Linked DNA regions of Oreochromis niloticus. The protein of the gene in region 2 interacts with the protein of the main gene of each other region in a biochemical or structural test. Links are inferred from orthologs where the notes say so. Each region holds a gene or a part of one and is shown on either strand. Other genes may lie near its edges. The genes, in order: mycbp and akap1b.

What was found.
Region 1: the proteins of akap1b (region 2) and mycbp form a complex in vitro, tested with the Homo sapiens proteins (2 studies listed by BioGRID). The link is inferred for Oreochromis niloticus from reciprocal best matches to the Homo sapiens genes AKAP1 and MYCBP.

Annotation. Positions count from the first base shown.
Region 1 is NC_031985.2:11,667,987-11,671,910, reverse strand, and holds mycbp (C-Myc-binding protein), read right to left. Parts: upstream 2,884-3,924; 5' UTR 2,576-2,883; coding exon 2,561-2,575; intron 2,331-2,560; coding exon 2,258-2,330; intron 2,149-2,257; coding exon 2,100-2,148; intron 879-2,099; coding exon 749-878; intron 664-748; coding exon 619-663; 3' UTR 448-618; downstream 1-447. UniProt on the Homo sapiens protein: May control the transcriptional activity of MYC. Stimulates the activation of E box-dependent transcription by MYC.
Region 2 is NC_031979.2:5,263,166-5,267,089, forward strand, and holds the start of akap1b (A kinase (PRKA) anchor protein 1b), read right to left. Parts: upstream 2,596-3,924; 5' UTR 2,443-2,595; intron 1-2,442.

The DNA.
Region 1 (3,924 bases), on a different chromosome or scaffold from region 2:
GAGGCCAATATGGACCAAGACCTGAGGAATGTTTCTGTGCCATGAAGAATTGGGCAGAAAGGCACTCCAATCAGGTAATGGCAGAATGTACCTATTAAAGTGGCTGGTGAGAGTACAGTTGTGGTCTTGGGAAAACTCCACTCGGTCACTTTGAAGGTTAATGATTTGGCAGAATGCAAAAAGCAGTGCAATCCTTTGTAGCCAGACACACTTCAGTCAGTAGCAGCGTCTGAATTCATCCATGATGAAGCTTTAATAACAAATGAAGAATTTCCATCAGGCTTGTGAACAGCATGCCCTAATTATTTTTTTAAAATTAATTTTACTTCATGAGTAGGCATTGAAGTTAATATCAATCTAAAAGGTCCTTAAAAACAAAGAATTTAAAGACTCTTTTTTTCTTCATGTGTAAGCAAAATCGAGGACCTTCATGACAGAGAGAAAGGCTGATGCTGAAATTTTTTTTATTTTAGAAAGCTTCTTGTTATACAACAAAAAAGTAACAGTGATTTTGCATTCACTGTACATCCATTATTCAATAAACAGTTACATACTCTACAAACAAGGCTTTAGTAACATTTTTCTTTTTATTCCTCCACAAAAGCAAAGACAACCTCTCTACTCTGCTGCTTCCCCATCAGGCGACGGTTCATACTGCATCAGCTGGAAGATGAAGAGGAAAACGAGAAGGTTAAAGGTCACAGAATCAGGACCAAATACAGACATGTGATTATCTGTAAACGCTCACCTTGCTCCTCAGCTCTTTGTTCTCCTCCATGAGCTCGTTGTATTTCTGTTGTAGATCAGCCAGCTCTGTACGAAGAGCCTCTGTGTCTGCTGGCTCTGGACCAGCTGCCCCAAGATGAAGCTTTATGAAACTGTTGCCATGGTTAAGGTTAACCAGTGCATGGAAATTTTAGTCATTAAAAATATCTAATTTCATTAGAGCAGAACAAGGTCCAACTCTGTTCAGCCTGTTAATTCAGGAGACAGATGATCCAGTTTGTAGGTATGGGAAACTGTTGCAGGAGAATGACTCCTTAGCTTAAGAACTGATGGCCTGTGACAGACTCACCCACTGCAAGTATGTGTGCAAGTAGATTAAATCAAATCCCCTGAACACATTAAAAAAAACTTACATTTTAAATTTGCTGCCATAACAAGAAACTAGCTTTTTCCACAATAACACAGCTGAGTGATTATTTGATCAAGTCTACATCCTTGCAGTTATACTGAGATGCACAGAACATCAGCATATCAATGAATTTTGATGGAGTTCATTTCCCCTCTCTACATGGCTGTAGAATTGGAGATGTTAAGATATTTATTGTGAATTAAAACTCAAAGTCTTAAAGGCTACCATTCATCTCTAAATGGAGCAGGAGTCACCTCATTGCCCATCTGAAGGTTTCAGGAGATGATGGTGCATTTAAATGATCAAATTGTCTGCAATCATAACATTTTAAGACTGATAATACCACAAACAGTGCAGTGGTTTAACCTCTAAACCTGTTTAGATTGAGTGAAATTTTGTGAAAAAGTATTTGCCAACTTCCAGATCTTATTTTTACACATTTGCTACATTTAAATATTTCACATGATCAAACAAAGAACCTGAATGTCCACTTCTTAATGACTCAAATAATAATTAAAGTTTTGGAAGGCTTTATCTAGTCAAAGTTTGGACTTAAAGTGGCAACTGAAGCTCAAAATCCCTCAAGTGTGGCTGAAGTAAAACAGTTTTGCAAAGAAGAGTGATCCAAAATTCCTCCACAGTGATGTGAAAGACTTGTTACTGGTTATACCAAACAGTTGCCTTTCTTGTTGGTGGCAAAACCAGTTATTAGGTTTAGGGGGAATCACTTTTTCCACATAGGGCCTGGTAGATCTGGATAACTTTTCCCCCTTAATAAATGAAATAATAATTTAAAACGTGCATTTTCCACTTACAGTTATATGTCCAATATTAAAACACATGAGATCTGAAACATACAAGTGTGACATATCTTTTTTGCTTTGAAGATATAGGTGAGCCACATCAGGAACTGATTGTTACCACCTGTGGTTGTAGTAAGGCTGCAAAAATGAGAAAAGGATACTCCAGGGCATTGTTAGGTTTCTCAGGCTCCTCATAAAGAGCAACTAAAACTGCAAGAAAGAGGGGGACAGCACGGATATCAGTAAAAACAAATTAAAAGACTATTTCACAGAATGTATTATCGTTAACGTCAACAGGCCGAACAGGTGGTCCATTTACCGCTTGTTAAGGTGTCGAGGACTCCAGATTTTTCGAGGTATCTTCTAAATTGTTCCCGCTTCGACTCAGAGGCCTGAAAAAAGACAAATAGTTGGATGACACATAAGTTAGGAGCCCATTCATACGCCGACATAAAGCAAGAACGCTTTAAAAACTCTGCACTCCCATGGTGCCTTCACTGCCTTCCACCGTGTTGACGAGCAGAGGTCATGTTGTTATGACGCTAGCTAGCTAGTTTGACAAACTTTAAATATTACCACGGAAAACATAACAACTACAGAAAGTAAGGCCAAAAATACTTACTCTATATTGAGCCATGACTTCAATAATAGCCGTGTAACTCCGGGTCGTCTACAATGTGCCAAACGGCCAATAACTTGAGACTAGCTGCAGCTGTTTGAATGCTAGGCAGGAGGTGACTCTGTTGCCATAACAACACATCCAACCACGCGGAAATGAAGTTTTTCCAATAAATAATCAGCTTGTAAAAGGAGAAGAAAGACCACAGAGTAGCTGTCAGAATAAGATAAATTTAAACAATAACGAAACGTAAGTTTTTCAGTTTACGAGCAAACTACTGAAATGCCTCAGACATCGAAACTAGACGATGAAGCTATGTTGCCAGATTTGCACCACAGACATACAGAACCTACCATAATATGATTTTTCGTCTTTTAGGCAACAACCCGCTATAATTGGGAAATAAAGCAAGCCGAATTTTGTGTTAGGAGCTCCTGTTTGCCATATACTACTGAGTGCTCTAAAATCGAGTAATGGATTGCTCTGATACCGAAGGTATCGTAAAAATGTCATAATTCACTGTCGAAGCTTTTTTTCCCGGGTTTCTACACTGGCATATTCGAGGTACTCTTGAGAGATATTGTCACCCTCGGGAAGAAAAAGTCAAATTTAATTTACAAATAAATACGTGCAACTTCTCTGCTTTTTGTATGTAATTTAGTTTTTATGTTTAAATGGCTTGGCCTCACTGCTGCCGCCCCTATCTGGCAACACGGAAGGGTGAACACAAGCCCTCACGCAAGCGCGCTACCAGCGCAACGTCCGATTTATAAAACATATGAGCTGCAGTCATTGGATAGTCTAAAACTAGGCGTGGCTTATCTACTGCGTTTTCAAATCGGCCCCTCCCAGAAGCTCATATGACGGGTGTAAAAACATCAGCACGGAAAGGAGTTTCTATTGTTTCACCGGCTTCAACATGACACCGATTGTCAAGTGTTAAGCCTCCTGTGCTTCTACCTCCAATAAAACCTAATGAATTATAGTTTTTAATCCTTCACAAGGTAAGCTGCTTTTGATCGATATCCCGTTAATCAGTGACACATTGTAGCTAAGCTGTTAACAAACATATCCTGGCTAGGACATTTAACAGGTAGGCTTTCTTTAATTGGAAACGTTTAAGTATATTAACACTTATTTAATGTGTCTGAATGTTGATATAGAGTTACAGTTACGTTATTTAGACATATTACACCATGCTGTGGTGTGTCTTAGTGTGGCAAAGATGAGTTGATTTAGCTCCGTTTCCTAAAATATTTAATGATATTCATCTACTGGAGGATGAACAGATGCTGTTTCTAACTATTATTTAGTGGGATTTACGTTGCTACGTTAAAAAAAATAACTCGTTAAAACCACAACAAGTT
Region 2 (3,924 bases):
CTGTACCAAATGAAAGCAAAAATCAGGAAAAATTAATATGTAAAGCTTGAGAAATGCCAATGGCTGAGAGAGGAGCTAGAGAATAAGTGATGGGTAAAGGCAACAGCAGTCCCAGTGGCAATCAGAGCACTTACAGCAGTGACTCCCAAACTGGGCGAGTGGTTCCAGCAGATCCCAGGAGTAACATTTAAGATCTGTCCGGAAAGGACCAGCAAAGATGCAACACATGAAGCTCCCAGACTTCATGTGTAGCTTGTGTGTGTTGCTGTTAAATCCAAGGACAACACACTCACCATATAAAGGTCACAATGGAAGCAACAAGCTGTAAAATGAAGAGCTATCCTTACAGGTCAGACAAGTCTTTATTGGTTCCTTTCCTGGCCTTATAGTCAAGACTGTCTATAAACTGTAAGATCATCTCTTACTGTGACCTTGGCTGTTCAAACAGGAATGATTAAACTATTTTACACCTTCTAAATCTTACATCATGCCAGCACAGACAGACTAGTGTAAAATTATTATGCGGCCTCAAAATACCTGCATACCAACAAGTTCAGTGTCACTCAATTCCCACCTGTTTGCGTTTAAACTTTATTCTTCATGTCATACATTTTCTCATATCCCTTTAATCACCATCATTCATGTTAAATGAACCTTGGGACTCACCATCAACACTACGACAAATTAACAATGAATGTGACACTGTTTTTAAATAAATGAAAACCAAATTATTTTATGTAAACAAACCGAATTGCAGACTGACCGGGATATTAATACAATATGCTGTCAAGTCTTGCATACCCTATGGGCAAAAGTCAAGACCTTACAGGAGCCATGCTGCTACTAACAACTTAGTAAACTTAGGTGGCGTTGATAGTTGCTACAGCCACATACCAGTCCACTTTACATGTGACCCAGGCTCCAGTGATGTACAGAAGGTGCGCCTCAACACCCCAGCCGTCTTTCAGCAACGACTCAATAAATGCTAAAAGCGTTCAGCTAGCTATGCCTTAATACTACAACTGTAGGACATTGTGTAGTTCCCTATAATGCTAGTGGCGATGCTTTCTGTCCCAGCATAAAAACAAACACACACACAAAAAAAACAAAAGAACAAAACAAAACCGTGGCGTGTGGTCATGCACTCCATCGCCACAGACCGGCTAACACAATTAGCTAGCTAGGAAGTACAAAGGCCACAATGTGAATTTCATATATAATTCTCGAAGTTTAACGTTACATGACTATATGGTAAGGAAAAATGAATTCACTGTGCATACCAAAATAACATTTTCACTTGTGACTCAAGCGATTCATTTTGTCTTTATAAGGGGATCCCTCACAGTTCTTTGCATTAGCCAACTAAAACCTAAATAACCTTCGAAAGAAGCGCAAAAATATATACTTAGACCCTGCTTATGAGCAGGCAGCAATTTATAAGAACTTTAACTTACTTTACGCTGCCAGGTCTTTTTTAATGCCGAATTTTTCAGATTCTAAAAAAATATCCAACAGCGAAGTTATGCCCCGTACTAAACTGAAAAACCTGCAGCCAATAAGATGTTAAATCCCATACGACAAATGCATATAGGGAGTTTGGCACCGTCTGGGATGAAACCCTGTAGCAGAGATGGCTGTGACCTAATGCAAACACGAAATACAGCATGGCTGTTTAAGGAGGCCGCAGTGCAGGATACAAAGCATGAAGTTAGCTACATAGCAACCACAGTGGCTTTGACGTTTATGAAAATTAACGCTAGCTAAACATGAAAAAAGATAAGCTAATGGCATGTTCCCTGCACTGTATTATTTTTAGACTACGTTCGTATGTGGCTACATTATTAAAGCCACTTCAGAGTTTCATATCCCCGACTTACAGACGTACTGGGCCACAACATAAAGCTGTGTGATACGTAGTCGTTAACTATACCCAACTGCACCAACGAGGGGGTATCTCTAATCGATGCAGGGTTAAAGGACATTTGAAGCCAAAGACTGCCAATGCCCCGCATGGGCCTTAGACCTTCATGCTAGCCTGCTAGCCGGCCTGGCGACAATGACTCCCAACTCTGGGCCAAAATGCATTTATTATTATCCAAGAACCAATGCTCCTACGTTGGCACGTGCACAGCTCAACAATACAAAGCAAGTGCGAAAATGTAACTTCTACAACAGAAGCTACGTGTGCTGTTCTGAATGGCAAGTTAGGAGGAGTTGCTTTGTAGGCTAGTTTTTCAATGACATGGGATCACATGGTGACACAATAAACATTTGACGACCCACAGAGAACACTAGAAATGCAAGTGAATGTCTTTTCCCCTAAAATATACTCACATAAATGTGAATGAAACCGAACCATGCATGCAATACATAGAAAACTAAAAGCTAACAGTCTCTTTTTTCAGTGTGCCATTTCCTTCCCGGACTAATTATTTTACTTACAATGTTTTTGGGTCCTCGGTACCGCAACGATGATAGCAACACTAACAACGTGAGCTTTTTTGAAACGTACGCTAGTGGAAAGTCACACTCTCCTCCCCACGTGTTTGACAGACCAGTACCAGTCTTAAAAAAAAAAAGAGGAAAAAAACACGCAGACATAACAGCTGATCAAATCTCGCGATACTCTAAAGTTTAAGCCGCTTGGAGTCTTGCGTCAACTGAGAATGCAGTAAAGGTAAACGTTTCTTCTGTTAAGCTCATGCAGTTTCATAGGTAGATTTAATATCATCCTGGTCACCTCTACTATAAAAATGGGGAAAAAATAACATTCGTTTTTGAGTACAGATGGGACAGAGCACCGTTTTCATATAATTTTACTATATAAATGAATGTCATCAGATTAAGGCAAAGGTCACGTTAGAAGTAGCACAACTTTACAAACAGAAGGATTTGCACCTTGTGTGATAAGTAAAATTAAATTGGTGCATGTCTTTGTTATACAATTTTCTGCTGGACAACCTTAAATAATGGCATTTATTTATTTATTTATATCACTTTGCATTGCAGACCAAGAACCCTACAGCTCCAACAGGACAATGTACCCCTCCACACAGCAAAGCTGCTCAGAAACAGTTCTAACATCAAGACAAGGAGCTCAAGGCATTGACCCAGCCTTAAAATGTCATAAATCCCTTTCCAATCAAAAATGCAAATCCCTCTGTTATTTAAGCTGAGAGCGAGAGAGAGTCATTGTGCCCAAATCAACTGCCCTTACTTAGACACACCTGACCAGTCTCACAAAACTGCTTTTCAAAGTAAACCAAACATTGAGCACTCACAGAGTACAAACTCTCTCTGAAGGTACCTCACTATCTGGGCAGTATTTCCTTTTAAGGCATTAGTACTGTATTTTGGTTTTCTTTGTTGTTGTTGTTGTTGTTGTTTTTTCAAACATACTTTAAGTTTGTAGTGCAGTAAAAACAAGTGCAAAGGCTTTTGTTATATGCCCTGTTGAAACCCATTTATACTTGACATAAGTTTAAGTATAATTATTTTGTGTTCATTTCATTGCTTAGTAAAGTTTGTTTACATGTTTAGTAATAAATTGAACAAAGGTTTTGATCACAAGATTGTTTTATATTTTTTTAGAAAAAGAAATATACTTTTAATAAACTTAGCACAACAATTAAGGTAATTAGTCATTGGCAGAGAACACTTTGCAAGTTTTCATGGATACAACCCACATCCTCAACCCACAAATGCATTTTAGTTACAACTGTGGCACCAATCAAGGAGAAATAAACAGGCTTTCCAGTGGTATAAGAAAAAATTAATTGGGAGAACATCTCTTAACTGTCATAGATACCAAATATAGGCTGAGTGAACAAAAACAGCCAATCAAACAAAGAATATAAAAAATCAGGAGATGCCTTTTGTCGTAAAATGCAAATCATTCAGCAAAGTAAGAGACACTTTAACCAG